Caenorhabditis elegans: one gene and its partners. The protein of the gene in region 1 purifies or fractionates together with the protein of each later gene. This does not show direct contact. Each region holds a gene or a part of one and is shown on either strand. Other genes may lie near its edges. The genes, in order: srp-1, wht-3, W10G11.19 and ndx-6.

The links.
Region 2: the proteins of srp-1 (region 1) and wht-3 fractionate together in Caenorhabditis elegans (co-fractionation; one large-scale study listed by BioGRID). This does not show direct contact.
Region 3: the proteins of srp-1 (region 1) and W10G11.19 fractionate together in Caenorhabditis elegans (co-fractionation; one large-scale study listed by BioGRID). This does not show direct contact.
Region 4: the proteins of srp-1 (region 1) and ndx-6 fractionate together in Caenorhabditis elegans (co-fractionation; one large-scale study listed by BioGRID). This does not show direct contact.

Annotation. Positions count from the first base shown.
Region 1 is NC_003283.11:750,379-757,597, forward strand, and holds srp-1 (Serpin domain-containing protein), read left to right. Parts: upstream 1-2,904; 5' UTR 2,905-2,979; coding exon 2,980-3,275; intron 3,276-3,485; coding exon 3,486-3,661; intron 3,662-3,870; coding exon 3,871-4,037; intron 4,038-4,087; coding exon 4,088-4,390; intron 4,391-4,446; coding exon 4,447-4,605; 3' UTR 4,606-4,746; downstream 4,747-7,219. Other genes in the region: sri-4 (Serpentine Receptor, class I), read left to right, coding at 1-27; str-262 (Seven TM Receptor), read right to left, coding at 948-1,057, 1,106-1,418, 1,467-1,620, 1,667-1,801, 1,887-1,965, 2,008-2,095, 2,219-2,401; str-20 (Seven TM Receptor), read left to right, coding at 6,091-6,309, 6,355-6,656, 6,819-6,905, 6,952-7,219.
Region 2 is NC_003281.10:4,145,025-4,154,636, reverse strand, and holds wht-3 (ABC transporter ATP-binding protein/permease wht-3), read left to right. Parts: upstream 1-3,038; 5' UTR 3,039-3,085; coding exon 3,086-3,172; intron 3,173-3,351; coding exon 3,352-3,398; intron 3,399-3,662; coding exon 3,663-3,767; intron 3,768-3,825; coding exon 3,826-4,012; intron 4,013-4,342; coding exon 4,343-4,726; intron 4,727-4,980; coding exon 4,981-5,231; intron 5,232-5,824; coding exon 5,825-6,097; intron 6,098-6,508; coding exon 6,509-6,692; intron 6,693-6,738; coding exon 6,739-6,857; intron 6,858-6,930; coding exon 6,931-6,997; intron 6,998-7,042; coding exon 7,043-7,183; 3' UTR 7,184-7,212; downstream 7,213-9,612. Other genes in the region: glod-4 (Glyoxalase 1), read right to left, coding at 51-287, 336-686, 733-903, 950-1,036; har-1 (Hemiasterlin resistant protein 1), read right to left, coding at 1,952-2,176, 2,289-2,425, 2,478-2,580; Potassium voltage-gated channel unc-103, read right to left, coding at 8,190-8,344. UniProt on the Caenorhabditis elegans protein: Required for efficient RNA interference (RNAi) of pop-1 indicating a role in the germline development.
Region 3 is NC_003280.10:3,547,586-3,555,871, forward strand, and holds W10G11.19 (DUF4105 domain-containing protein), read left to right. Parts: upstream 1-3,066; 5' UTR 3,067-3,086; coding exon 3,087-3,177; intron 3,178-3,225; coding exon 3,226-3,349; intron 3,350-3,621; coding exon 3,622-3,905; intron 3,906-4,050; coding exon 4,051-4,138; intron 4,139-4,184; coding exon 4,185-4,325; intron 4,326-4,387; coding exon 4,388-4,603; intron 4,604-5,184; coding exon 5,185-5,551; intron 5,552-5,594; coding exon 5,595-5,810; 3' UTR 5,811-5,870; downstream 5,871-8,286. Other genes in the region: dnc-3 (DyNactin Complex component), read left to right, coding at 6,251-6,322, 6,373-6,495, 6,541-6,651, 6,704-6,804, 6,854-6,962.
Region 4 is NC_003280.10:5,387,301-5,393,876, forward strand, and holds ndx-6 (Putative nudix hydrolase 6), read right to left. Parts: upstream 2,582-6,576; 5' UTR 2,538-2,581; coding exon 2,504-2,537; intron 2,456-2,503; coding exon 2,245-2,455; intron 2,199-2,244; coding exon 1,875-2,198; intron 1,831-1,874; coding exon 1,617-1,830; 3' UTR 1,529-1,616; downstream 1-1,528. Other genes in the region: ccpp-6 (Cytosolic carboxypeptidase 6), read right to left, coding at 1-17; rsp-4 (putative splicing factor, arginine/serine-rich 4), read right to left, coding at 360-551, 595-649, 1,127-1,264, 1,321-1,526; brap-2 (BRCA1-associated protein homolog 2), read right to left, coding at 3,137-3,214, 3,260-3,361, 3,412-3,840, 4,518-4,961, 5,024-5,122, 5,170-5,429, 5,477-5,630, 5,680-5,886; pink-1 (Serine/threonine-protein kinase pink-1, mitochondrial), read right to left, coding at 6,167-6,576. UniProt on the Caenorhabditis elegans protein: Probably mediates the hydrolysis of some nucleoside diphosphate derivatives.

The DNA of each region.
Region 1 (7,219 bases):
GCTAGCGTAGTCAATACATTTTTCTGAAAGCTTTTGTTTATTTTTAGTTATTTTTGACTGTTGTTAAAAAATAAATAGTCTGTTCCGTTTTTATGTTTTTTTTAATTTTCAGAAAAAATGTTGGCGGGAAATTTAATTTTTCTCACAAACGAATTTGGCGAGAATTTCCAATTTTTTTTCTTAAAACATTTTTGCTGAAAATTCAGATTGTCTGAAAAATATTTTTTCAACTCAAATTTTCTGAGAAAAAAATATCTGGAAATTCAATTTTTAATTTTTTTCAAATTTTGGAGGGAATTTCATTTTTTTCTGAAAACTTTTTTACATAAAATGCACTTTTTTATAAATTTTGCCGGAAAACTCAAATTTTCTAAGAAAAATGATCTCGGGAAATTATAATTTTTTTTTCCTCAATTTTTGAGTAAGTTTCGAATTCTCTGATAAAAATTTTTTGGCGGGAAATTCAAATTTTAAAAAATGTTTTGGTGGGAAACTCAATTTTTTAAGAAATTCTGGCGGGAAATTCAAACGTTCTCTGAAAATATTTTCGCTCTTCTCTGAGAATTTCGCAAAAAAAAGGGAATTTCCAATTTTTCTAAAAACATTTTTACAGAAAAAACACATTTTCTCAGCAAAAAAAATTAGCGGAAAACTCAAATTTTCTGAGAAACTGATCTCAGTAAATCAAAATTTTAATTTTTTTTTTCTCAAATTGTAAGGAATTTTCAAATTTTCCAAAATACATTTTGCCGGGAACTTCAAGTTTTTTAAAAAAATCTGACGAGAAATCAAATGTTCTCTGAAAATATTTTCGCTCTTATTTGAGAATATAAATTTAGTGAACAAGAAATTTAAAATACAAATGAAAATCACGAAATTCATGGAAAGGAATGAAATTTTTTTAAAATCAAAGCAAAAATAATTGTGTACTTAAATGAAAATTTTTGTCAACTTGTGGTCGTGAAAATCGAGGAGACGGGTATGACCTGAACAGTATGCGACACAGGAATCACCGTTGGCTTTTTCAAAAGTGTATTTTTTATTGAAATAAAATAATCTGAAAACATTTAACATTTTCAAATGATTTTTCTCATTACGGACAAACCTTTCACGGCTTTTCGGTAGCTTTGAACTATATAAATGGTTGGAAGCGGATTCATTGCAGGGTACATCGCGATCGTTAAGCTCAAAGTTTCTCCGACGATTACCGAAGATTTCTCGAAGAAAATGGTGATATAAATTGCAGAAGCCGGAATATGCATTAAAACTACTGGGATTATGGTTTGAATGCATAGAGCTTGGAAAAGCTGCTTTTGAATATTTTGAAACTGTTCCGAGTTGCTTGTAATTGCGAGTAGATTGTTCATACTTATATATCCCTTAATTCCGAAGAATATCATGATCGAGCTAGAGAGACCCTAAAATGTTTGACAATTTTTTACAGTTTTTTTTACAAATAAACTCACAATTGACCCCATAACTATCAATGAGCCTTCCGCACCTTTCCAACTAAAATACGTTTCCGTTATTGAATTTTCAAGTTTCGGCCAGAAAAACGGGCCCATGTAATAGAGGTCTTCAAGATTTGTTTGATTTTTAATTACTTTTAGATAATTTTCTCTGAAAGTCATGATAATAAGCACCAGAATTTCTGAAATGTTCAGACCTCATGAACCGATCCGTTTCCGCATCAGCCGACAGAATAATACCACCGGTAATCATATAGAGGACGCCGTTGATAAGAGGGACTGTGAAAATGGGAATAATTAGCCATGAGTCAAAGATTTTAAGGTAGCGACTGCTGAAAACAATTTGAAATTGAAAATTTCTTTAACATATTTGAAAATTTGGGAGTTTTTTTTTTTTATTTGAAAAATATTACTAACTTTGTGACGCTGAAAAATCGATAAATGAAATGAAGAGCTAGAATTGACATGGACGTTCCAAAAAAGCCGACGAAAAGCACTGAAAAACTATTAAGATTTTCAGAAAACTGGGGGTACCTACGATCCATTAAACATGACATGGTTGCTGGGAAAATAGACTCCTTCCAATTAACGATCAAAAAGAATGCAGACTTTTTGGTGAAGAGATCCTGTGGAAATAATTTTATCTAAGTTAGAGAAATATGGGAGCAACCGACATTCCACGGGTTGGTTTTTTAAACTTAAATCTTGAAACCCGTGAGTTGTCGGCTGCGGCAGATCCCACAACTTACAGGTTTTTCTGCAAAGTATAGAATTGCGTAGGAGAACTCGAAAAGGTTAATATAAAGCATCAAAAACTTATATGAGCCCAATGATTTTGGGGATTTTTTCAGAATTAAAACAATCAAAAGGAAATTAATAAGAACTGCGCAGACCGCTGACAAGTTTAGGATTAAGGTGCTGTTAAGATGCATATTTTGAAACAAAACTTCCTTCAACCGATGTTTGGGAGAGTAAATCGTATCATGTGGCAACTCTTGTGATTAGAAACACCAAGTAGTACCATTTTAATTTCCGTGTATGCCTATGAATGCTGTCTAGTGCGTAGGCATAAAATAACAGAAAAAACGTAATAAAGAATGAGAAAAAAAAACCTTAATTTCTGTCCATTTTTGGGAAAACTTCCAAATTTGTATTCCCGAAAAAAAAAAATATTTTCCGTCTAAATTTTTTTGAAGAAATAGGTTTTTTTTTAATTAATAAGGGAAAAGCTTGGAAAATTGACAATTGGAATTTAAGTAGTTGAAATTTTTAAAAGTAGATTTATGTTCAATGTGAAGTAGGTGTCATCGCACAATGAATTGAATTTTTGAATTGAATTCTTTTCATTGAATTCCTTGCGAAATTTCACGCCGACACAACAACAAACAACAAACAAACTCGATTCCTCCCCTCCGAAACCAAACTCCTGTGTAACATACCAGCTGTTCACTTTACCTTGAACTTTATTTTTCTCTCCGAAGCATCTACCACATCAATTGATCGTGTAATTATGAGCTTTTCGCTCATAAATTCTACATTTACCGAGGCTCAATTTGGTATTAAACTGCTATCAGATCTAACTTCCGACCAGCTCACACCATGCGTCTTCTCCCCGGTGTCTATTCTATTATCGTTGGCTCTGGTGCATCTTGGAGCTAAGGGACATACCAGACATGACATCCGAAACTCTGTGGTGAATGGGAGCACCGATGAGCAGTTTATCGAGCATTTCAGTTTTATTAATAAACTTTTGAATAGTTCTGTGAACGATGTGGAGACTTTGATTGCCAACAGACTATTTGTTTCGTGAGTTTTTTTTCTGTAGTGGAAATATTTGTTGTAGTACGTTTAAGATTTAAAAAAGTATTTGAGCATATTCCTGGTCTATCAATCATTTCGGGTTTTCGAAAAAAAAAATCAAAACTTAAAAATAGAGTTTTCTGACGGAAAAATTAACTTTTTCTCAAATCTTTTTTGGTAGTTGTGTTGCAAATTTTCAGATTATCCAATTTTTAGGCCAGAACAAGCAATTCGAAAAGCTTTTACCGATGAGCTCCGCGAGCATTACAACGCTGAAACGGCAACAATCGACTTCAAAAAGTCTCAGGAAGCCGCAAAAATAATGAACCAGTTTATATCGGAGAGTACCAAAGGAAAGATACCTGATATGATTAAGCCGGACAATTTGAAAGGTGAGATTTGAGTGTAGGAACTTGAATGCCTGCTGGGGCATCCAGGTGCCTAGGCTTAGGCTCAAGCTCAGGTTCAGGTTCAGGATCAGGCTCAGGCTCAGGCTCAGGCTCAGGCTCAAAAAAATTTTTTTTGAACTATCAGATAATCGAAAAATCTAAAAACGATAATTTTAGATTTTTTTTTCCGAAACAACTTTTAACAGTTTTAGACGTCGACGCAATTCTCATCAATGCAATTTTCTTCCAAGGCGATTGGCGTCGAAAATTCGGGGAACCCGCGGAATCCAACTTCTCTATTTCTGCTACTGAAAATCGCCTTGTCCCAATGCTCCGCGAGACCAGAGACTACTTTTATAACAAGGATGATGAGTGGCAGGTTTTAGCTGAAAAATGTTCAGCAAAAAACTGAAAACTATCTAATTTCAGGTTATTGGTATCCCATTCAAAGACAAATCCGCATGGTTTGCCATTTTCCTCCCAACGCGAAGATTCGCCTTGGCTGAAAATCTGAAATCCCTGAACGCTGCGAAATTCCATAATCTTATCAACAATGTCTATCAAGAGTACATCTTTTTGACTTTCCCCAAATTTAAGATGGACTATAAGATAAATCTGAAAACCGCCCTCGCCAAGTTCGGGCTCGCGGAGCTGTTCACAGAACAGGCTGATCTTTCTGGAATCGGGCCGGGGCTTCAGCTGGCGTCGGCTACACATCAGGCACTGATTGAGGTGATTTTTTTTAGAAACTTTTATCTTGACAGTGGTATTTAAATCTTCATTTCCAGGTAGATCAAGTCGGAACCCGAGCCGCTGCTGCCACCGAAGCCAAGATCTTCTTCACCTCCGCCAGCAGCGATGAACCTCTTCACATTCGTGTCGATCACCCCTTCCTTTTTGCAATTATCAAAGACAATTCTCCATTGTTCTTGGGAACATACACTTAACTTTTTTATATTCGATGAGAAAATGTGTAATTTGAAATTTTGTAAATTAAAGATTTCCCATAACTTAAATTTCGTAGATAGTTTGATACTTGCAAAGAAGCTGCCGACATTTTCAGGGCTTTGCAACTCATCAATAAACACTTAAGCCTTCGCAGGACGTCGAGAGGTGTTAAACAGGGTTGTGCGGCAACCGGCTAAATTTGTCAAGTTTTCATAATTTGTAGCTCCAGCAATTATTTGCAAAACTTTTAATTTCTACTCATAGGATTTTTGAACCAAAATCTAATTACAATGGTTTTTGCGCATTTTTTGTCACTTTTTGAAAAAAACTACAGCACAATCCTATATTCGAATCCCCGCAATTGTTAAATATTCATAATAGAAATATAAGTAGACTACAAAATTTGAAAAAATTTTTTAATTGACAAATTCTAAGAAAAACCGCAAAAACTGATTGATTATCTTTTTTTGAAGCGATATTTTATAAAATAAAAACTTTGTTTATAAGTTTTACTATGGTGTTCAGGCGCTACTCTCCGCCTTGATTTATTAAATTCTCGAGTCGTTTTCAGACAGAATACCTGTAGAACATCGATCTTCAAAACAATTCACTAATTCGTCAGATTCGCACAGGCAATATGTCTGCAAAAATTGAATAACAAGTCTAACATCATAACGTACGTGAATAATTATTGTTATTTGCAGAAGGAAGGTAACAAAACACAACCACATCTCTTTCTCACATAGACTTTGATTTTCTTGTTGACTGTTTTTTGACCAGTGTTCTGAAATACTTGAGCCTGATTATTATTAAAAACAGAATTTGGAAAAAGCTCAGCTGAAATAGTTAATGTTAATAAATTGACAAGCCAAATTTAATTACCAATATGCTGAAATTGTACCTAAACTTATTTTCAGCTTTCAAAAATGTGCTGCCAACAACAAAAAGCCACTTGATCACAAAAAAATATTTCCATAAGTATCGATCACCCTGCAGAAAATCTGTCTTCCAGACAATTCCCATACCATGACTCACTAGACTGAAAAAATTGATTAACAATTCTAGAGAATCTATAATTATTTGCATCCTTGGCCCCAAATAACTAAAATATTTAGGTTGTAAAATTTATTCATGTTGGAAGTTACACAAATATTCAACCGAAAGCAAAGTTTACAGGCAGGTTTTTTTAAGTGTATAGACTGTATTGATTTTTTGTAAATTTGTTCCATTATACCAACTGATGTTGAATGAATCTTTTTGACAACAATAAAGCTAAAACTTTCATTTTTTTTTTCATTAAAAATTCAAGTCCTGCGTTTTCAAGTGGCTTAAATAACTCAACATGATTCTCGGTCGCCCGGTTTCCAGCTGTCCCGCGTGATAATCCCATTTGGCGTTCCTTGCAAAGCTCCGCCCTTATCTCGGCGGATTTAAAAGTAGCAAATAATTTATTTCTTAATTTTTCTTATTGGCCAGAAAGTGTTATGAATATTTCCAACCAAACTTTTCCTTACGAAAATTACATAGTTGTCTCTAAACGTATTTCTCATCTCGGCTTCTGCTCCACTTCATTTTTCTGCACTATTCTTATTATAATAATTGTGAAATTTAGTAATAAAAATGTTGGAAGTTACAAATATCTAATGATTATTTTTTCTGTTCTGGGAACATTGTTTTCAATAGTTGAAGGGATACTTTGTCCGGTAATTTAAAAAATAGTAGATCACAACTATTAACAAAACATTTAGAATGAGCATTCGTACACTGCGAGTTGGCTATTGTTCATTACAGAACGACCGTTTGGGCTCAGCCCAGACTCACTAACACTATTCCTCGTACTTTACGCAGTATTATACGCAGCAACAATTTGCATGCTATCAGTACAGTTTGTGTATAGATACTGTGCAATATTCCATCAATTTGGGTTAAAGTATTTCGAAGGATGGAGAATGTTGTCAATAGCTGTATATTGTTCCGGTTGTGGGATATTATGGGGAGGATCGATGTACCTTTTTTCTCAAGTTGATGATTACGCTAAGGCTTATCTCAGGTACATTACTAATAAGCTAAATCGGGTGTTAGAGAGAGCGACATTTGTTGAAGTTCTTGAAAATGTCCGAAATTTTAAAGAGGTGATACTTTTTAAATAAAATTGACCAATTGTGTAATATTTATTGGTTAATAATATTGGTAATTTTTCCATATTATTCAGAGGCGAAATGAGTATAAAATATGGAATCAACATTGACAATCTGGTTGCATTCACATTAGTTGCCTACGACAAGGATGGTCATTTTAGGTAGGAAATGTCTTTTGGGAGTTTAAAACATACAAAAAAGCTTTAGTTTCAGATGGTGGAATTCTATTGCAAATTTCATCTTATGCATTATCATGTTTGCTCAGTATGCAATTATGATGTTTTGTGCAGTAGTTATGTATCGGAAAATGGAGGAGAACATGAAAATGATGTCTGAATCACTACGCAGAGTCCACCGGCAGTTCTTCCGGACGCTTGTCATTCAAATCATCGCTCCATCCATATTCCTATTTTCCCCGCTAACTTTTATACTATACCATCCGTTTTTGAATTATGCAATCAGTTTTCCATCCGGC
Region 2 (9,612 bases), on another chromosome or scaffold:
CGAATTTATATAAGGAAAATACATTGGAAATAAAAATATAATGACAAAATTTAGATCCACTTCTCGCTGTCATCCTTTTTGATTTGCTCCTTGAGCTCAGACTCGGCTTTATCGTCAATTTTGCTGAGAGCTCTGAATCCTTCATCACCAACAAAACAGATTTCATGCTCATCTGGATCGGCAAGAATCACAACTTGAACATCGGCTTTTCCTGGAGTTTCGAGAGTTGTGAGCTCGTTTATAATAGTTCCATTGGCTGATTTGATCTTGTCTTGGAGAGATTCGAGCTGGAAAATTAAATATTTAGATTTTTAATAGAAAATATCAACAATTACCTTATCTTCAGGATAACTGAATGCAATTCTTCCGAATCCAGTTTTTCGATCAATTTTATCCTGAGACTTCACAATCTCCAGCTCACACTGTCCATCACCATAGCTCATTCGAATTCTGCTCGACTTTTCCTCAACAATCGGCATTCCGAGAGTTTCATTCCAATATTTCTTGGATTTCTCTAAGTCTCCAACATTCACTTGAACTCTCAACACTTTTGGCGATTGATCAGCCTTTCCGATCTTGAATTCGTGGCCATCTGGATCCTTCACAGCTAGTCTTCCACATCCAGATTTACGATGATTGATTTTTTCGACTTTTTCGAAGAGTTGATCAGAATCGATGACGATTGCCTGAAATAAAATTGTATTAATAATATCAAGACTCAAGCTTTCTTACTCTATAATCATTACCCAACTCATACTTATGAATTGGATAATTATATGTGATCTCTAGAACAAAATGCTCATCCTCTGAGCCATATCCAATCATTGTCTTGCTCCATCGTCCGTTATATGGTCCATTGCAAGTTGCTTCGCATCCTTTTTCGAATTCCTCGTGGCGAAGAACCTGAGAGTTAATTTACAGCTTAAATAAAAATTATGTGAATACTCACTTTCATATTCAGAACATTTGTGAAAAAGTCGATGGTCTTGGCACGATTCGCCACTTTGAAGACGTAGTGAAGAGCGCGAGCTGTCATTTCTGGAGAATAATAATACAATTATTTTTCGATTAACTTCAAGGGATGTTCACTCAAATGAATGGGTCTCGCCGCGCTCACTTAAGATTACTGTAGGAAATTCAAGTACAAATACAATAATGGGTCTCGAAACGACCAAAGCTTCGAAGCTACCGTACCCGTATATTTATATTTTTAAAAATTGTCTAAAAATATTAAAAGTATATGGGTTCTAAATTTTGGAATATTCAATAAAATAAATATGGAGGAGAATATTGTGAGTTACTGAAAAGATAGATTAAATTAACGGAAAATATACCATATGGCGAAAAAACTATAGTTTTTCAAAATATATCGATTTAAATTTTTTAAAAAATTAATATTTCTCTAAATTAATAAGAAATTATCGTATATTATTGAAAACTCTATTTTTTCTCGAAAGATTAAAAATTGAATCTCGGGGAGTTTAAAAATGCATAGCAACGAAACATCGATAAAAATCTTGCAGTAGAAAAGAGAAAAAGCGAGCGGAGGAATAATAAAATGAAGCGATTTCTGCAGTATTTATAGTGAGTGTTTGGAGGCCGACCCGCGCGCTCATTGATGTGTTTTTTTGCTTTTTAAAAATCGCGAATGAACCAGAAAATATAAAAACAACATGGCAAATACCTCAAAAATCAGTGCGAAAGACTGCGAGGAAAACAAGAAAACAACGAGTCAATTTATTTGCGAACAGAAAACTGGGGAAAATTGAAAAAGAACAAAACTACGGAACATTTGGAATTCAGGGAGCTAAATACGACAAAAAAAAGGAAAAAAGTCAAATTGAAAGCGATAACCATAAAGTAGAATTTGAGTTTTCAGAGAGAAATAATCAATTTCCACCAAATGCTAAACGTTTTCACTTAATTCAATATCTATACGGGGGAACTGTGATTAGGCATATCTGGCCTTGCATTGCTTGAAAATATCATTGAATCCGTTGCACAGAGAAACATCAGATTGGTTTTGTGCGCAGTCCACAAATTGTCTCCACTCGAATTCGCATGGCTGCGAGTAGCCAGAAGCTTGTGGAGCACCGGCTGGAGCAGCAGCAGCAGCTGGAGCTTGCTCGGCATGAGAGCTACCGCCTCCGGTGAACATTCCTCCGACGGCGTGACCCTGGAATTTTAGAATTCGATATTTTAATTAAGTGTTTCCCAAATTATGGTCTTGGAAATAGGTTAGCTTCGAAATCCGGGGAATATATATATATTTAAATAAAACTACTCACAACAGCGGATCCAATGGCGACTCCTCCGGCGGTTGCAGCCATTTGCTTCATCAATCCTGGTCCCTGAGATGGAGCACCCATTGGGGCTCCCATTGGAGTTGGAGCTGCTGGTGGATGATAAGCTGGAGCAGCGGCGGCTGAAATATTATTTTAAGAGTTTTTGAAAAAAAATAATGGCTTAAATTTTACCTGGTCTTGGTGGTGGAGCGGCGAAGGATGACTGGGCGGCTGGACGTGGAGCCGATCGAACTGGGGCCGATGGAGATGGGGAAGCAGTGCGCCGACGAACCATTTTCTGAAATTGATAGAATTTCAATGAAGATTTCAAATAATTAAAACTGTGAACGAAAAAAGCCAGAAGATAAAATATTCGAATAAATTGAAACATTCTAAATTAACTTTTTAGTTAAAAATGACAGAAATCAGGAACTCTGTAGCCTCCACTAGTCTCGAAGAGCATTTATATTGTCCGAGTAGTGACGAAATAGTTCAAAAATCACTTGTCTGTTCAATGTGATGAGAGATAAGATTGCGAAATACGACAGGGAAACAAAAAATTGAGCTAAATCAAGCGAAATCATATTAGAATCATTAAATATAAATACAAGCTTTTCAAAGTTTGTATTATGCATTTTACAACAAATAAAAATCGTAATAAAAGCGTTGTAAGACTATTTTTTCTATTTTCAAAATTTACGTATCCGTGATGATAAAATTTAGATTGGAAAATCAACAATCTACTCATTTCTATAATTTTTAATTAAAAATTGAATCAATTCAAATAGTTTATTTGTCAAATGCCTACAAAAATGCCATTCGATTTACTAGCGGAAAGAAAAAGATGGAATGCCGGGTACGAATCAATCGATACAAGCAGCCAAAAGGTAAAATTATGTTGTGTAAAGCTGAAAACGTGGAGTTTAGCTCAAGAGGAGATTCTTAGTATTTTTTCGGTCTGAAATGCATTTGTAAATTGAAATCAACAAATATATCTTTGAAGAAATGTGTTTAAATCATATAAAATACACATAATTGCTGCAACGAAGTAAAATACATTTTTCAGCTGACGGAAGTGGTGACGCCCATCACAGTCACGTGGGAAAACATCGAGTAAGTTGGAAAATTGACGAATAGTAACATCACATAACACGCCCAGAGCAATTTACTAATTTTTAAGTCATAATTTTTGTAAAATATAAACAAATCTTCAACACAAAGATCAAAAAACAAAGAAAATTCGAGAAAGAAATGATAAAAATGATGATGATTTGCGCGTAGGCTGTGATGCATTCCGCAGCGGTACGCAAACACCGCTTGCACACCGTAGTTCTGAGAAATACGCGGGTGTTTGAATTTAATATTTTCATATTTCAGGGTAAAAACTCGGAAAAAGCTATTTTCCAAAAAGCAGAAGCAACTGTTAAATAGAGTCTCGGGAATAGCAAAGCCAGGAGAAATGGTGGCATTAATGGGTGCAAGGTAAAACTTTAGTTATGTTATAGTTATGAAGTTATAGTTATGAAGCAATTTTGTTCAGCGGAGCAGGAAAAACCACTCTAATGAATGTGCTAATGTGCAGGAATATGAAGGGATTGGAGAAGAATGGAACCGTGAAAGTGAATGGAACAAAGATCGGGAAGGAGATTTCATTGATTTCTGGTTTTGCACAACAACAGGAGATTTTCATTCCAACATTGACTGTTGATGAATATTTAATGATCCAGGTCAGCATTTTTTTTCGCACGAAAATACAGTATTTGGTCTTGGCACGAATAACATTTTTTGAATTAATGTCACCTAAAATAACGTGCGCCTTTAAAGAATACCGTAGTTTCAAGTAAAAATACTATACGGAATGAAAAGTACAGTAACCTTTTAGAGGCGCGCATTCTTTTCTGGAGTTTTGATTTGAGAATACTTTGACCGTTTCAAGACCTAAAACTGTAATAATCAGAAGACAGTGTTTGATCTCCAGAACTCCCGATTTCTGAAGATCAAGCGTCAGCGCCTACTCGATACATCAAACTTTACGCGCAAACTCCCAAAAATTTCAGGCAAGACTTCGGATGAAAGCCAATAAACATACACGTAGAGAACGAGTGGATGAGATTATTGAAATGCTGAGACTCCAAAATTGTCGAGATTTGAAAATTGGAACACCTGGACTCGTAAAAGGAATTTCCGGTGGTGAAGCCCGTCGTTTGACATTTGCCTGTGAACTATTATCCAATCCATCACTACTTTTTGCTGATGAGCCAACGTCTGGACTTGATTCATTTATGGCTGCAAGTGTTGTACAAATTTTGAAGAATCTCGCGAATTCCGGTCGAACACTGATCCATCAACCTACTGCCGAGCTCTTTTTTCAATTTGACAAAATTATTTTCTTGTCGATGGGAAAAACCGCTTTTATGGGAACACCTCATGAGTCCGTGAAGGTAATTTTGAAATTTAAGAAATTATTTAAAGGCGCACGCCAAAAGGTCTTGGCACGACCGAAACTGAGGATTCAGAAAAATATTAGTGAATGTGGAATCTGCGAAAAAGTACAGTACTCTTCAAAGGCGCATACCGAAATGTTTCAGTCGTGTGGAGACCCTCATCTGCCTATAATTTTGAATCGAAAATCGAATTGTTCGGATACCCAACTATAATTTGAATTTACAAATTTTCGAATAAACCTTTTTTCCAGTTTTTCGCTGACTGTGGCCATCCAATTCCGAAATTATTCAATCCACCTGAATGGATACAATCCAAATTGTCAGTGATACCAAACAACGAGACAAAGAGTCGAGAAACAATTGGAAAAATTATTGAATTTTATGAAAAATCGATAATTCATCAGAAATCTATAGTGGAAATACGTGTGATTGCGACTACAGAGCTACCTCCATATATAGAGAATCCAGGATTTTTTGCCGAAACTGGAGCATTGTTAAAGAGGTTGGTTATCTGGAAAAATAATAGTTAAAGCACGCTTCTTTATGGTAAACTACGAAATGCACCATGTTTGAACCACAAACTGTTGCTGAACTTTGACATCCCATAGCTCAGTTGTTTTTGATTTTTCGAAATTTTGCCAATTGACAAAATATTTATCATGTATTTTTCTATAGTTTTGTAGTTCAACATTTTCTGATATCTATAAAATGACCCGAGATACTATAAGTTGCCAAAATTTTGTTTGGAAATCCTACCACGATTGCACTTTATAAAAAACCAGCTGTGGTCCGCACCTTCGGCGCGGCCCCCGACTTCTAGAGCTGAAAATTAATTTTTATGAAACTACCGTAACCCTACAGTATTCCTACCGTACCACTATTGTACCACTACAGTACCCCGACTATATCCCTACACTAACCCCAACTCACTATCCCTCCAGAAGTCAAAACTTCACAGACTACAAAGACTACATAGACTACAAACTATGGACACACAGAATAAGCGCTTTATATATAGTAAATGATGATGCACGCTTTTCTTTGCAAACCAATGGTGCAATAAAAATTTGATTTGCTTCTAACATTATTTTTCAGAGCTTGCCTCGATGTGATCCGTTCTCCAGCTCAAATGCGAATGAAACTAATTCAAAAAGTGGTGATGGGCTTATTCATCGGATCTCTTTATTGGCAACAACCACTTGATCCTCGAGGAGTACGGAACACAAATAGTGCTCTTTATTTTCTAATTGCGGAGCTCACTTTCTCCACGATGTTTGGAATTATGACATTTATGGAACATGAACTTCCATTAATTGCGAGAGAATATCATGATGGATTGTTTTATGTAATTAGTTATTATATTTCGAGGTTAGTTTAGAAAAGTGGAAAAGTACGGAAACATGACACGATATGGGAAGTTTTTCTATACGTTTATTTGAAAACTAAATATTTTGAGTGCACTGATAGGTAGTAAAACATCCGAGCATATGAAAAACAATGCTTCCATGGTTAGCACTGCATGCCTATGTGCCTATTTTCTGCCTACCGCCCATTTCTGCAATTTGACGCAAATTCCCGTGTTTGGATCAATTTTTCAGTTAAAAAAAATAGAGCAAGATTCACGTTGGTAGTAGGTAGAGCTTATAGTAGGCATTTTGTGACTGTACGAAACTAAAGACGAAGTATTAAAAAAATCAATATTAGGCTCTGCCCAAATAATGGTTTTTTGCGTTGTCAAGAAGAGCATCTCACAGTTGATAAATCTGATTCAACTTTCAGATTTCTGTCATATCTCCCATTATTTACAATCGACGGAGCTCTAATGATTGTAATATCATATTGGATGATTGGATTGAATAGTACTTGGCAACAAGTGGCTAAAAGTATTCTAATTTCTGTGCTCGTCGAGCAGTCTGCCACTTCGTGTGGCCTCTTCTTGGCTTGTCTATTCGAGACTACTTCGGTAAATTTTTAACATCAGATTTTTCAAAACACATGTTTTTTTTCAGCTGGCAATTGCTTTTGCCGTTCCAGCATCAGGCCTTTTTGCACTGTTGAGTGGATTATATGGAAATACGAATAACTTTCCAGTTTACATTCGGTGGATGCAATGGACTAGTTGGTGTAGGTTAGAAATTTTGCCCGTTTCTAGGCGTATGCGCTTTTGAACGGCTTCGTACTCACGACAAATGAATTTTCAGATATGGATTCGAAGGACTCGTCGTGAATCAGTGGTCTCAAGTGGACAATCCGAAATGGGATCCTTTCGTAAGTTCTATTTTTGTGACACATGCCACTTTAATCCTTTTTCAGTATCGAGAATTGATTCTGAAACAGTTCTCATTCAACAAAGACAACTATCAATTGGATGTTATTGGACTCTGCTCAATTGTGATCTTTTTCTATTTGGCTGGATATATTGCACTTTTCATTCGAATTCGATTATCTCGATGATTTTATTATTATGAACTTGTTTGCTGAACATTTTTGTAGCTCTTAATATATATTTGTTTGAAACCCCCCCCCCCCTGAGGTGTCGGCTGCAGATAAAGTCACTTTTTGCTCTTTTATCCTGAATCCGATACCAAAATCAGTACTGTATTTGAAATTGAAAATTGAACACAAAAAATCAAATTTTAAAATTTTTATCGAAATTTTTTTGTTTAGTGTGGGTGCATAGAAAGAATGTCAAAAAGGGGATGTGATGTGATTTTGGGATACGAAGAGAGAAAATTTCAAAAGAAAAACATACAAAGAAAAGGCATCTAGACGATCAGATTTTAAAAGAAAAATTGCAAAAAAAAACATTATATTAGGGGAAAACTGATGGAGAACATTGAAAAAAGTGTTGCGACATATGAACCCGCGAGAAAGACATGATGAAAACACGAATTTTGTTTTGTTTTTGAAGTTGAAATTGCAAAAAAAAAAAAGATTTGAAATACTTTTTGGCATTTGAAAGAAAACGTTTCCTTTAGTTTTGTGGGAGATGGAAAGAGATCACTAGTGGCTATCCGGGGGTATTAGATATGAGAATATTAGGAGGGGGTATAAAAGTGTGGTTATTGATTTTTGGTGGAAAATGAAAAAAAAAAACAAATCACACAGCTTTGCAAACCGGGAGTTGAGAGAAAATGAACGTTTTGAGATGGAAAATAGTTGAGAGTGGAACATGGTGCATCGAAGCGGCCTTGTGTCGATTTACGCAGCTCGTGTAAAACTAAATTCTAACCTCTCCTCGATGCGTACGCCGGTGTTCGCACAATTCGACTATTTTCCATTCAAAACGTTTTTTGATCCTACGAATAAAACTCTGGACAATTTGTAATCATATAAAAATGTTTTTGTGAAGAGGCACTCGGAAAAAGATCCCTGAGAAAAAGGAAAGAAGGACTGAATTGGGTTGGATGTGAGAGAGAAAGAAAGATGGAGAGAGAGACAGAGAAAGAGAGAAACCGGGTTATAGAATAGTATCAGTTTCTTGTGTGGGTGTTGGTGGCTCGTGTGATGAGAGCCTCGAGACTCTCATCTCATCGACAACTCCACCACCACCTCCATTCGGAAGACGTATCGCTGACGATATGTAGTTGTTCGGACGGTAACGGGCATTGGGCTCTGGAATATTTGAAAATAATTGATAGAGAAAAGAGCTCTCGATCTGGGAATCAGAAGCTTCTGATAAAATTTTCTGTGATCTACACGCAGCCACGTTGTTTATCACTTGAAAGTTCAGAAAGAAAATAATTAAAAATCCAAAAAATAAAGAAAAAAACGAAAAACCCATTCATTCCTGAAATGAATATTCGAAAATATTCATCCAATCGTGCAAGTATCGATTGTTATCGCATTACATCAAACACACACATTCCACTTGTTTCACCAAAAAAAAATATTTAAAAAAGAAGAAAGTTTACTAGAAAGAGGAGTTGTGAGACGAAGAAGGGAAAATCAGAAGATTACGATGATAATTAGATACGTAGAGAGGTTCACTTAACAGTGGTACAACGATTTGTTTATAAAGTGATAGGTGAAGCAGCCAACATCTCATAGGAGTAGATCCCGTGAAATGTCGGCTGCAGAATTGAGAGACTGGTGAGATGAGGGTTAACATGAATTTCAGATACATCGCGTTCGATGCACCATGTTTTACGCGCAAATTTTGGGAAACATCATAAAGAAAATCTATTTGAAAAACAGAAAGTTCAGTACTTCGCGCGCAAACTTGGCGCGCCTACAAAGTCATAAGTCGCCTGATGCCTACCTCGGAATCTAAAATGTCGTAGGTGACTTTTCGCCTACCTGTGTGCCTTTAATGCCTGATGCCTGTTGTGTGTCTAAAAGAAATGAGACATCTCATGCCTACCTATTCACCTAGAAGAACGTTTATCGCGTTTGCCTACCTGAGTGCCTATGAAAGCATAGGTATTTTATAAAAAACAGGTAGGTATGCTTATGCCTACCTAAACTTACCTAAAAGTCTTAGAGAATTCTAATATGCGCTAAATGTTTCCTATTTAGTCAGAGAGATAATATATCAGGATAAAATTGGCGTACAACGCAATGAATAAGTAATATTATATTTTTCAAAAATTATTATAGTAACACTGCAACACACGTTGACGATCACTAGAATTATTGACGACAAAATGAATCAAATGAATCGAAAAAAAAGGATCAGGAAAAATTTAAAAAAAATCAAGGGACGAGCTTTACCTAGATAGAAAGGGAACTATATTAATTGTATCTAGAATCTAGCATAGCATATTGAAATTATCTAATTAAATAAAAAAAAAAGAGAAAGTACAGGGAGGGTAGATTAGTTACTACAGTAACCGGTGAATACATGTGTGTTTTGTGTGTGGTTCAATGGATGCGAATAACAA
Region 3 (8,286 bases), on another chromosome or scaffold:
CGACAAGTGTTGGAGGGACTAGAGGGAATTCTAGGCCAGAAGTTTGACCTAAAAAAGGAAATTGGAACGTTTTTTTTCGAAATGTTCATCTTAAAACCTTCTAGAAAGCGCGCTCTAATGAGATTCACCGATAATTCGCAATAGAGCGCGTTTTCATCTGTTCAATCTTTTTTTTCAAAAACTCACAACTGAAATGACGTCTGCGCTAGGAGAAACCCCTGATCGGCTCGTCGATTTCTCAGACTTTTTGAATTTTTTCGAACCGTCGCCGCCGCCTCTTCGAAATGTGATCGCATGGAATTTTCAGACAATTTCAGACAAAACATTTATTATTATCTAGCAGAATCATAGAAGACTAATAACAACTGGAGGAACAGTACGAGCGGGAGACAGACAGATAAGAACTAAAATTATCTTATCAATTTTAGTCAGCGGCGAGCACAAACTATTAGGTCGTTCAATAAGTTTTGTCGTTTTTTTCCAGTTTTGATTTTTTCTTGGATATTTTTTTGCGGTTGTATAGAGGACTGTTAGTAATGACAAGCCCAACGATATCAGCCATTTCGGTCAACTTCCAGGTTGTTTAAAACTCCGAACTATGACAACGAAACAAAATTTTTTTTTTCGATTTTTTTTATTTCCTCATGAAATCAAAAACTTTGTATGCGTAGATGTATTAGACAGTTAGTTAAATAAAACTGAAAATTTTCAGACTCAGGCATAGCTTATTGGTAGCGCTACATCTGTTGGAAGTGCCTAAAACGCTTGCAAAATTGTCTTTTTTATTTTTGAGCGGTGCTAACTTTGAAACCATGAGAGATATACAAAAGTAATGTATTACAACATTAATGTACATATTATAAGCTACAATTTATCAGTTTGGTGCAACGTTGGATCTCCTCACGTTTCTGAGTTACAGTCGATAGAAGTGCGCTTGGTCCAATTTTCAAAAAATCCTAATTTTTCATGTTTTTGCCAGTAACTCCAAAACCAGGTGTCTGATCAAAAATCTTTAAATCAAAAAATAAGTGCTTTTTTATTATTAACAGGTATTCAGTTGACCGTTTTGTTATATCTCATATGTGCGCAAAGATATGAATCGTAAAACAGCAAAAAATGCATGATCAGAAAAATATGAAAAATATTGCAAAAAGCCATTTTATTCTTCTCGAAAACAACATGGGCGTCTAGAAACACATTTAATATTTTGACTATCAATTAGTTTATCATAATCAAAAAACCATTAGGAGTTATCTTTCAAAAAAATTTTTCGGAAATTTTTTCCCGATGTTTTTTTAAATTTTTCAGAAATTTCCGCAACTTTTGTTTTACGATTCATATCTTTGCGCACACATGAGATATAACAAAACGGTCAACTGAATACCTGTTAATAATGAAAAAGCACTTATTTTTTGATTTAAAGATTTTTGATCAGACACCTGGTTTTGGAGTTACTGGCAAAAACATGAAAAATTAGGATTTTTTGAAAATTGGACCAAGCGCACTTCTATCGACTGTAACTCAGAAACGTGAGGAGATCCAACGTTGCACCAAACTGATAAATTGTAGCTTATAATATGTACATTAATGTTGTAATACATTACTTTTGTATATCTCTCATCATTTCAAAGTTAGCACCGCTCAAAAATAAAAAAGACAATTTTGCAAGCGTTTTCGGCACTTCCAACAGATGTAGCGCTACCAATAAGCTATGCCTGAGTCTGAAAATTTTCAGTTTTATTTAACTAACTGTCTAATACATCTACGCATACAAAGTTTTTGATTTCATGAGGAAATAAAAAAAATCGAAAAAAAAAATTTTGTTTCGTTGTCATAGTTCGGAGTTTTAAACAACCTGGAAGTTGACCGAAATGGCTGATATCGTTGGGCTTGTCATTAATAACAGTCTTCTATACAACCGCAAAAAAATATCCAAGAAAAAATCAAAACTGGAAAAAAACGACAAAACTTATTGAACGGCCTAATACAAGGCAGAGTGCTTTTTAGCGAAAAAAAAACTACAAAATCGTGAAATCAAAGCTACAGTAACCAGTTTTCGTTGCGAGACCCCAACATTGTTGCATGCAAAATGGGGGTCATTCAAATGCTGAGAACATGGATAAACTTAAAATCAGCTTGAAAAAAGTCAGAGATTCACATTTCACAAGTTTTCAGCGTGCTAAAAATCTGCTACACAGTCGAAACAAATGCTACAGTAACCCGATTTTGTGGCGGGACCAAAAAATTTTTGGAGGCAAAATAGTGTTCATTTGAAAGCGGAGAATACGTATAAACTGAAAATCTAATTGAAAAGTTTCAGAAATTCAAATTTTGAGAGTTTTCATGGCTTCCAATGCCTCTCACACAAGTGGAGTTAGTGCTACAGTAACCCGATGTCGTGGCGGGACCCTGAAATTTTCGGAATCTAGTCAAAATTGAGTCTATTTAAAAGCGGAGAGCACGGACAAATTGAAAATTTGCTTGAAAAATTTCAGAAATTCAAATTTTGAGAGTTTTCATGGCTTCCAATGCCTCTCATACAGCTGGAGTTAGTGCTACAGTAACCTAATTTCGTGGTGAGACCCTAAATATTTACAGGCGAAATGGGGTTATTTGAAAGCTGAGAGCACGGAGAAGCGGGAAATCTGCTGAAAATTTTTCAGAAATTCAAATTTTGAGATTTTTCATGGCTTCAAATAACTCCTACACAGCTGACGTTAGTGCTACAGTAACCAGTTTTCGTGGCGGGACCCTACACTTTTTGCAGGCAAAATGGAAGCCATGCAAAAGCGGAGAGCATGGAGAAACTGAAAAAATAAAATCTGATTAAAAAAATTTTATAAATACAATTTTGAGAGTTTTCAAGGCTTCAAGTTAATCTTACACAGCTGAAGTCAAAGCTACAGTAACCAAATTTCGCGGCGGGACCCAAAAATCACAGTAGAGTCTGTCTATAGGCACAGGAAACTCAAAAAATAATAAATTTTTCCAGAAATTGCTTGTCGAGCTACCGCTCTGTGTCTCCACAACGGAGCACTGACCACCAACTGATAATTGATAAGACTCACACTAATCATTCAATCAATATGCGCCTTTTTGCACTAATATTCTCAAGTTTTCTGTGCTCTTTAATATCAGCAGAACATGTCACTGTGACATATCATTTTTGGGAAAAAAGTTTGGATTTGAAAATAATTTTTTTCTCTGAAAAATTCAAAATTTCAGACGAAAAAATCGTGGAAAAAGTGGAATGGTTCACGAAATTTGTGGCGAATTCGAATCGATTTTGGACGAGCAATTTGGTTTTTCAACAGCATAATGAGAAAATCGATAGGGTTCAGATTTCAAGGTAGGTGGCCGTGGAAGAGAAAATTCGGCCACCGTTAAAATTTTAATAAAAAATGGAAAACAACTCGGCCACCGATTTTTTCTCTTTTCTTTCTACGTGGACGAGAAAATAAATTGGTGGCCAAGTTTTTTCTAAGTCCGACTTTTGTCATTAAATATAGTTATTGAAACCGACTTTCAAAATCTTTTTGCAAGTTTTAAACATACTCGATTATCACAACCTTTTGACAATTGATGGCCGAGTTTTTTCACGGCCACGTCCAATTTTTATAGCGAAAGCTGGAAATCTGCCGTCATCGAGGAGCCGGTCACCTTCCCGTTGGACACATTTTTCGTAGAACTCTTCCAAAAATTCGCCGACAAACTTTACACCAATCTTGCCTTGGATAGCCTACCGATTTTCGACGCCGGAGAATTGAAAAAATCGTTAAAAAATTTTGAAATTTTCGAAAAAGACGAGACGGAGGAGACTTTTCCATTCGATTTTTGGATGAAAATTGGCGAAAATGAGCTGAAAACCAGGAATCGCGATCGATTTGTGCTGTTTACTAGGGCAGGTGAGAAGCTGGAAGAAAAAGAACGCGGCCGCGGAAAAAAAAAACTCGGCCACCATGTTTTTGCGGCCATCACATAGCTTTTTGTGATGGTGGCCGAGTTCTCATTTATTTCTAGGCCACGCCGTCATTTCCCCCCTTATTCCAGATTCCTTCGAACACTGGGAGGCTATTTCTCACTTCCTAGATGCTCTGAAGCGTAGCAAACAGATTGGTTATGTGGTGGACTGTAAAAAGTAAGCTTTCCTCTGGAAAATTTGCTGAAAAATCTGAAAATTCCAGTGAAAACTCTGGTTGTTGGGCTCACGGAGTCGATGAGAATCCGACGCTTTTTTCGTTCAAACTAGATAATTTTGACGATCATCTCGAGGCAAGATTCCGTGGAAAATTCCAGAAGGATCAGGTTTATGACTGGATTTTGACGTAAGATTTTGACGTGGCCGTGGGGGATAAAACTCGGCCACCAAATGAAATTTCTCTTCCAGAACCAAGCAACCCGAGGTAAAACTGCTCAACGAGGAGCTGGTGCCGAGCTACCGTAGTGGAATGGTCCCAGGATTTGATCGCGCGCGGGAAACCGTAACAATTCTGTTTATTGACACGAAAAAGTCGCAGATTTGGAGGAATTACGCGAAATTTGCGCGGGAAAATCACGGGCGGTTCCATTTGACAGCGCTGGTGTCCGAGGAGGTCAAGAAATGGTAAGAATTGGTGGAGAATGTTGTTCAAAATTTGATTTTCCGTAACTTTCCGGGTCCTACCGCGAACGAAAATTTCCAACTACAGTACCCCACATGGTAGCTCACGTGGTGCCAGGCTGTCTCATTGCGGTTTGATCTACAAAAATCCAGGAATTTTTCCCCTAGCAAAGAGTGACGTCAGCACGTTCTTAACCATGGGAAATCAATTGAGAACTCTGCGTCTCTTCTCCCGCATTTTTTGTAGATCTACGTAGATCAAAAAGGAGACACTCTGACACCACGTGGTAGCTGAGAAGTTTTGTTCGTGCCAAGACCCAAAGCATGGATTTGATCGAAAAAATATTATGCCAGTCCGAGTTTTTAGTCGTAATCGCAACTTTTTGGGTCCTGCCGCGAACGTAACTTTCCAACTACAGTACCCCCACACGATAGCCAAATTCGTTCGTGCCAAGACCCAAAACTGGGATTTTGGCTAAAAATGTATTTTTTTTCAGAAGAAATTGAATTTTAACGAGAAAAATTGGTTTTTTTTTCCTGGAAATTTTCGAATTTTCCAAATTTCAAATTTCCCGATCTTTCAGGTCCATCTACCCTGCCTTCATCACGATGAAGCCCTATGACCCCTTCGTAAAAGCCTTCACACTTCATAAGGATCTCAACTGGAATCGAATGGTCGACTACTTGGAGGACGGTGTACACCCGGGCTGTCATCAATTGTCAAGTCCCTCCGATTTCCTCTTCGCCACCGGAACCCAGAAGCCTCTGGTCGTATTTTTCGACCCACTGGACTCTAAAAATTCTGAAGGATTCAAAAAATCTGCTGCCGAGCAGCAAAGCGGCGATCGAATTGCTCATTTTTCGGCTGTAACCGGTTTCGACCTGTTTGGACTGTATGTGATGAGCGTTTTTAATGTGAATTCCCCGAGCTATATTGTCATTCGGCGACAGGTACTTTCACTTTTTAACTTCAAATTAAATTCATTTTTTCCAGGAAAAAGGATGGTGCATCCACACAAAACCCGCTGAAAACGACAATTTCACTGGAATTCTTTCATGGGTTCGGAATTTGGAGCCAGTTCACTGCCAGGAGCTCATTGAAAACTTCAAGTTCCCAATTGCTCGTTTGAATCTGTTGGAGCGGTATGATGACGTGGAAGAGCTAGAGAAAGGGTTCACGGCCGTGGAGTGGACTAGGGACGAGCTATAGGAATTTTAAAAAATTGCTCTGTTGTAATTTGGTAAAAATAAATAATTTAATTTGTTTTAATTTGATGTTTTACAGATTAAAATTGCATTAAAAATTTATATTTAAGAATTAATTAATTTTCCCTGCTCGTCATTTTAAATGCCAGTTCCGCAGGTACACCGCCACGGTAGATTGCGGACAAAAGAATCCTTTTTTTAGCTGTTTTAAGGAAATAACAAGAAATTTCGATGAAAATTTTCAGTTTTAAGCTTTCATACTAAGATTTAATAAAAAACAGACAATTTTAATGTAGAATTGCAGGCGATATCCTAGTTTCCACACTGAAAATCACTTGCGCGTCAAATAAAATGCAAAGTACGCATTGACACCGTCACGTCCCATTGCACACAATTTCTCAATTATTATTTTTCTTTTTCGATCTTTTGATTTTAAATCTGAAAATGGACATGATCGAGCTTGAAAAAAAGATTTCTGAAATTGAAGAAGTTCTAGGAATCGATGATCTCACCACGGTAAGCTTTTTTCGCGCAATTTCCAATAAAAATGCCAATTTTTTTTCCAGAAAACATCAATTCCCTCTCAAATCGAGGCTCTTCAATCCAAATTACGAGATGATTGTAAGGCGAATCTGCTAATGTCGATTCCCATTCAAAAGCTGGAGCATTTGAGCAAAATCGCCACGGAAGTACGTTGGAAAAACTGAATTTTCTGTGAAAAATCGATTTTTCAGACATCCGGCCCATATGGATCGCTGACTGACAAAATAGAGTCTGTAAAATACGCGGAAAAGCTGATCAATGAACGAGCGGAACGGATTAAACAATTTTCAGATGCTCTTGAGGTCTTTTTTTGCGATTTTTCAGAGAAAATTGAAGAAAAATAAAAAATTTCAGCCCTGCCTCGACCAGGAGCTCTTCTCAAAAGTGGCTGCACTTCAACCGGAGCTTGACGCTGAAATCGAAAAATACGAGAAGGCCCTGGAGGACTGGACCAAGTAATTGCAGTTTTTAAAGCCTAAAAATCTGAAATTTCCAAAATTTCAGAACCTACGGAGAATTCCAGACACTTGTCGCCGAGCGGTCAATGATCAACCAAAAAATCACCGAAAAAGTGCTGGATCTGCAGACGAAAATCAACGCAAAAGCTAAATAATTAAATATTTTTTCGCTGGATTGTAATTTATTTTTATTTTCTTTGTTTTCCTGTAAAAATTGAAATTCTACAAGTTTTTTGTTAGACAGAAAGACGAATTGGCAGCAATTATCGACTTTTCGAAGTGGGCAAGATGATGACGTTGTTTCGGGAAATTGGAAAATTTGTTTTTTTCCAATTTTTTTCCTCGCAAGAAAAATAGTTTTCTCTCCATTTGAATTACTAGATTTTTCAAAAAATTTGAACTTTTCTCCGTGGAGCGCGCTTGCATTATTAGATTTTACGAAAATTTGAATATTTCTCAGTGGAGCGCACTTACACCTCACTTTTTTCCAAAATTTTTAGTAATTCTCGATGGAGCGCGCTTGCAGCAAGGTAATTTTCAAAATTTTCCCAAAATCTCTATGTAGCGCAGTTGTAATCCAAAATTACAGCTAATTACCAGTAGAGCGCGCTTGCATCAGTATTTTTAAAATTTTTTTGAAATCAATTATCAGTGGAGCGTACTTGCATCCCAATAAATTTCATATAGTGCCAGGCTGTCCCATTACAGTTTGATCTACAAAAAATTCGGGAATCAGCACGTTCTTAACCATGCGAAATCAGTTGAGAAACCTGCGTCTCTTCTCTCGCATTTTTTGTAGATCTACGTAGATCAAGCCAAAATGAGACACCCTAACATCACGTGAAATTTCAAAATTATAGACAATTCTCTGTGGAGCGCGGCTGCATCGTTATATTTTTCGAAATTTTTACAAAATTCTCTGTGGAGCGTACTTGTAACACTAGCTTAGCCAAAAATTCCACCAATTCTCTCTGGAGCGCGGTTACACCGCTAGATTTTTCAAAATTCTACTAATTCTCCGTGGGGCGCGCTTGCATCATTATTTATGTTTTCCGCCCATCCCCATATCCCTCACAACACTATCATCTTCTTATCATCATTACGTCGTCTCCTCTCATTTTCCAAATTTCCATCTCGCTGCTAATTTCGTTTCTCTAGAAAAAAATACAAAAAAATCTTGTTTTTCTCTGCGTCTCTCGTTTAAATTGATCCCTCCGTCTCTCTCACCTGCCTAAATGTACTTGACTGTTTCAATAGGAACTTATATTAGAAAGTGGTAGTGGTGGTGGGCAAATTGGTGTTCCACCCCTTCCCCCGTAGTTTTCAGTTTTCATTTCGAATTTCGAATTACCATTTCATTTTCCATTTGTTTAGAGTAAAAGCCGGTTTCATCAGCTTTTATCAGTCAGACTTTTACTTATTGGTAGACAGAAACCTTCGTATCTTCAAAACTAGCATAGATTTTGGAAAACTTTCAAC
Region 4 (6,576 bases), on another chromosome or scaffold:
TTTCCAACATAGCCCATATTGAAAATGAAATTTTGTTTTTTTGAAAACCAGACCTGAGCTCCGACACCGGAAGCCGGAAGTGTGGTTGGGTGAACATTTCTAACTGCTTTGACACTTGAGCCAATTTATTCAAGAGAAAAAAGTTTGGAACAATATTGACGGACAGAATTTCGATTTATTTTAACAGTTCTCTTGGAGAAATTAGATGGAAAATTGGAAATCATATATATTACTTGTCTTGTTGGAGGCAACTGGAAAAAAAAGACGTTTGAAATTTCAGGATCAGTGAGTAAATCATAGTAAAAACGAAAACGAAAACGAAAAATAATCAGAAATCGAAGAGGAAATTTTTTCGGAATTTAGCGGGAGTTGGAACGGCTACGACTTGGCGAACGAGATGCCGAGCGGCTTCTGGAACGGCGTTCCTTTGGAGATCCATCCTCACGTGGTGGCGGTGAACGAGATCGGGAACGAGAGTTGTCACGACGATCCGGTGAATCTCTGCGATCACGAGATGGTGGTGAACGAGTACGACTACGAGAACGTCGCGGCTGAAATTATTTAAATACATTGGTGACATTAAAAGTAACTTACAGATCTTGAGCGAGAATATCTTGGAGATCTGGAGCGTCTTCTCGGTGAGCGGGATCTGAAATTTATTAAGTTTTTAAAAGAATCAAGTTTTTGATAGAGTACAAAATACATTACTCGCTGTGAATGTTCTATTCGATAGAAAGAAGTGACAACTCAAAGACAAAGAACAACGTCTATCAATACAGTTTGCCACCGAAAGTTGAATTTCAGCAACAAACTGTAGAATATGCCGATTGAAAATATTCGGGCACTTACAAAATTGTTTTCTGCCTTTTCCACACTGTCGCCGCTGGTTTCATTCAGCAGACACAGCAACATCAAAACTGCTTTTCTCTGCATTTTCAGCAATTCTGCTACTCAAGTGTCACTCAGCAAGCATTTACAGCTTCAACAGCAGCAAAAATTCAGCTCAGCTCAGCAACATCTGGCTCTGCTGCTGTTCTATAAATAAGTCAGGAAGACAAGGGTTCCATTAAGTCTCGCGCCTAATTTTTGAGCACAACTACAAGGGGAATCAACTGAGTATACTAACCTTCTACGTCCACCACCACCTCCACGGCCTCCTCTCTCATCCGATGGTCGATCATACTTTGCAAGAGTCACACGTAACTCGCGTCCATCAACCAACTTTCCGTCTGTGCGGTCCAATGCGTGCTCAGCATCACGACGTCTAAAATAATATTGATTTTCTGATGTTTTCTCTCCAATAGTTCCAATTTAACTTACTCATAAAATCTAACGAATCCGAATCCTTTCGATTGGCGAGAGTACTTGTCCCTTGGAATGTGAACATCTCCAATGTCTCCGTATCGCTCAAAAGTTCGACGCAAATCGTTGGGCGTTGTTTGGTACGACAAGTTGTCGATTTTCAGCGAAGTTAGACCATTGATATCCGGTGCGGCACGACGATCACCACCTCCTCCACGGCTCATTTCTGAAATGAAAATCATTTATGAATTGAATATAGCTAACAGAAACGCGAAAATAAGAGGAGAACATGAGAAAAGAGAGACATGTGGTAGTTAATGAGAATGAGATTCTTTTAGAAGATCAATAAAATGAGAATGAGAAGCGTAAAGTGGCTCATTTGAATTAACTGCAATCCAGCGTAAAGCTTTAGCATCATCTCCTGCTTGAAGAGCCACATTTTTCAGAAGGCCTTTTGAATCATGAAAATTGAAAACAACAGTCTCCATCCATGCGTTATCAGTGTTACGTGGGTCATCAACGTAACCTCTGTAAATGAAACATTGAGTGGGATAAAAGAGCTGTGAATGCACCTGTATAACTCTTTACCATTATTCCACAATTCATCAAGATTTTCAGAATCGACAATTCCATGCATTGCTTCTTCTGCGAATTCGCGCCGTAGAGTTTGTGAAACATGCTCTCCAGCATCCACCATTCCTCCAGGAATTGCCCACTCGCCATTGTCATGACGTTGAACTGCAACAAACTCCAAATCACCATTGTCGTTTGTTCTAGAAACGATCGGATCTGCTGCGTGGTTTGGACCCCAACGACCAAGCAAACCACGACCAGAAAGTCCCGTACGTCCAATAGGATTTAGTGGGCGAAGGGTGACAGGATCAAATGAGTACTGACTGGAAGGTTTCTTGATTGATTGAGTATATACACTCATAAACGCACCAAACATATGACACTCTATTGATTTTCCCATCGATCGCATTCCAAGACGGTTGGAACGTTTTCTCATCGATTTCTGGGTCTGCCCAAACAGCTCCATCAACTTTTGGATCGGTGTGAGCCGGAGGATTGTATCCTGACCATTCTTGGCTCCATTTGACAAGATTATCAGGCACATTTAGTCGGTGAATGTTACTACCAAGGTAAACCGTATCTAGAGGTTAAATTTGTATTTAATGTTAGATTAATACATTGTTTATACCGATATTTCTGCATTTTTGATGAACGAAACTCATTATCGGACGACACAAAAGATGATTCCAAATTGTCATAAATTGCCCAAAAATCGATAATCTTGGTTAGTGAGTGTAAAAATGCGGCAGAAAACTTTTGAATTAGAGAAATACGAAGAGTTTCGAGAAATTATGAGAGCAGTGATATTAAAAGTTGATGGAAATCTTGAAAAAAAGAGAAAATAATTTGTAAAAGATAAGTATCGAGAAAAATCGAAGGAAACAAGAATGATGGCCAGCGGAGACGTTTAAAACGAAGTGTGCGTTCTTAGTGAACACAAGAGTTGCGTCAGCACCGAAAATGTGTCAGCAAGGAAAGAGGAGGGAATTCGAAAAATAGTTTTTGACTCGTCGTTTAATAACGATTGAAAACATGGTACATAATATGAAACCAAAAGACACTCGAACGATATCATTTTATTCATAAGCGAATGCATTAAATAAACTACCGGCTGCATACATATATACCGCACAAAATTCGATGAGATACGCGAAAGAAAGCGAATAAATATTCAAGTGAGACTAACCATATATGAAAAGACTATTAAAGAAATGTTCAATATGCAAAAATTAAATAGGACATGGATCTCCTGAGATGCCAACTACTTTTTCTTCTTTCTGTTCAATTTTCTCGACGAGGAGGACGACGAATCGAGTTCAACTTGACTTTCAGTTATTTCCTGTAAATTAAACATTTTTATTGTGGCGAGCATTGGTTAACCAACCTCTTGAGTTATTTTTCCAGCATCCAACTGCTCTTTCAGCTTATTTTGAGTTTCAAAATGCATCAAAAGATCATTGACTTGTGACTGAAGATCTTCGATTTTCTGAAAAGAAAAGCTTTCAAGAGATCAAGGGAATCTATTTAGACGAATACCTTTTCATACTCGGTTCGAGCAGTTTTCTGACTTTCAATAAGCTTTTCCACTTGACCTTTCCACACTTGCTGATCTTTTCTCAACATTTGATTTATTTCACGTTCATCTTTCAACTCATTTGCAAGCTTATTCACTTTTTCATTTGTCTGCGTTGCTCGTTTCTCTGCCACTTTTCTCGCCGTCACAGTATCATCTAAATCTCCTTTTAATGATTTCAATTCAGTTGATCGTTCCGTCAGTTGATGCTCGAGATTCTCTACTTGAGCATAAGCAGTTTTCTCCATTTTTGACATCGTTTGCTCCATATCGTGACGTAGACCTTCAAAATATTTCCGTTGATCCTCAAGTTGACTGGTCAGGAGTAGAGTGTATTCGAGTTTGATTCCCTCAAGCTTGTCTCCACCCTTTTGGTTTTTGTCATCAAAGCTCTGCAATTTTCAACATTTTTAGGGAATTTGAGTGAAGACTAAACATTCTGGTCTATTTAGTCAGAATACTTGAAAACAAAATTTTAAATGAATTTATAAATTTTCTGTATAGAATGAAAAGGCCACAAAACAGTGCTGGACTTTTTTTTTGCTTTTTTTTCTGTTTTTCAAAGGTATTTTTTCACGAAAAAAAAAAAATTTTGCTTTATGATAGCAAAAATAAAGTAAAAAATCAAACACTTTGGATTTCAAACACTTTTAGAACATGATCATACTTATTATTCAACGATAAAGGGGAAAATGAATATATTACAGGATTTTAGCACTTATTCCTAGGCAGAACAAAAGTATTTGTGTGATAATTAATTTGAAACGCATTTACAGACGCATATATATATATATATATATTTGTTTTCAAACAAAAACCAATAGAATTCAATGAGAAAACCCGAAAAATTGCATCCAAAAAAATTAATTGATTCATTGCCCGAGAGGAGTACACGGCCGAGAATTTTCAAAACTAATTAGTGCGCGAAATTCAAATTAGTTATACGAAAAGGTTGATTTTCGGCACTTTGAAGCCTCAAAACATTCTTTTTTTTTGTTTCCACCAGTTTTTTAACAAAAAATTATTGTTTTTAAATCAACAATTTTTTTTTGGTCCAGTATGAACATACCGCATTCGATTCTCTCTGATACTCGACAAGTTTCCCATCAGCTCCATTTTCAATCAATCTATGCACGTAATTGTCTCCAGCATAATCCCAGACTCGTTCTCCTCCAACTTTCAAACTATAAGTATGTGAAGTGAGCTCCCAATGTCGTTGTGCATGTTGTTCTGCGTATCTTCCACAACCTATATTTCCACAAATTAGACAAATCCATAGATCGTTGCTCATTCCACAATCATTACAACGTTGCTCTGCGACAACTTCTGGAGATTGAACATATCGACAGACTGGACAAGTATTGTCTGCCCATTGTTCCAGGCAACGAGCATGAAATGAATGATTACATAGAATTGCAAGAACACTATCATCCATTCGTTCCAGACAAACTGCACAAGTTGGAAGCTCCGTAAGAGATGTATCATCGGAGGAGAAGAGATCATTCGACGTTGTCTGAAATTTATAAATTGTTTCGAAATATCTGGAATTATTGAAATAAAATAATAATAACTTACACATTCAATTCTATCCACAAAGAAAAGCGTGCAACAATACGATTCGAGATCATTAAACGGGCAATTGTTGAATTCCTCGTAGAATGTTACAGCATCATTCTGAAATAAATATTTGCCAATTAATCGTTAGTATAACTTGAACCTACATGTTCCTTGAACTTGATAATCAACATATACTGATTTGGCGCTGGATCTCGAACAACTTTAATACTAACAATCATCGGAAGTGAGATACACATGAATGATATAATCTCACGAACTTCAACTTGTGCTGGTACAGCATACATACACAACATTCGGCACTGTGCAACTTTTGTCAACTTCTCATCATTGTACTTGTAAAAATGCATAATTCCTTCGGTCTTTTCCGTGAGAGGATTTCCAGAATAATAGGCAACTTGGTCAGCTGAAATTTTTAGATTTCATTTTCCATCTCACATGTTTCAAACTCACGTGGTCCTTCTGAAACAGATCTTCCACCAGATTTTTCCGATGTTCCGGCAACCGAAGAACTCGAGTCAACAAGTTTTTCTCCATCTAAAGATTCGATGACCACTTCAGAATAGGTCCGTCGTCCTTTGTGGTAGTTGTGTGATGGCTCGGATGACTGAAAATCAGATTAAGCTTTTAGTCTCAATAAAATTTGATCTATATACCATAACTCCAATTGGCGGATCTTCTTCTCTGCCTTTCAGTTCCTTTTTTGGAGGAGTATTTCCTTTTTTGACTAGTCTCTGACGAGTCCGTTCACCTGCCAGTGGGGATTCACTTCCTGCTTTCGAGTCGTCGATAAAAGATTGCACGATTTTTGTCCGGTCTCTCACTTCGAGCCGTAAAACTAATGGCACGTAAAGACTGCTCATACACCTAAAAGTTACAGTTAGAGGATCTGAGATCTGAAATAATAGGATGTAATGAAGTAGTATAAAATGGTTAAAAACCACCAGTATTTGAACAATAAAAAGTAATAAGGTATGATATTTTCCATAAATGAGGGAATGATAAACCGTAATTAGACAAAAGAACGCAATAGACTGGCATGAAAAGTGATTGTACAATTTGAAAAATACCAACAAGTAAAAAAAAAAGGTTATTACATATGTAATCTAGAGGTTTCAAACTACAGTAATCGTTAAAACAAATCTATTTAGATCGAACTCTATGTACAATTCCATTGATTCCATCCGCATCTGTACGGATAACATTTCTGAGAAGAAGTGGAACATTGTTGTATCCATTTTTAGCCGGTTTCTGTTGCTTCTCGTAATTTTCTGAATCATTTGAAAAACTCGACATCAAACTGGAAATAGTCTCCAAACAGTCTGATGATGTGGCAGGTGTGTCAAGTTGAACACCAGCTGGGAAGAAATATTGAAGACTTCTCCAAATATCTTCTCGATTCATTCTTGAAAGAAATGTTGCTCGAAGTTGTCGTTCTGCTCGACTAATCAAATGTGGAGCTAGGTTGGCCATGATAGTTTCAGCAGTAATCAGATTCATCACTTTGTCCAGACGACTATTGATTTTTTGACTCAAAACTTTAGAACTTCCAG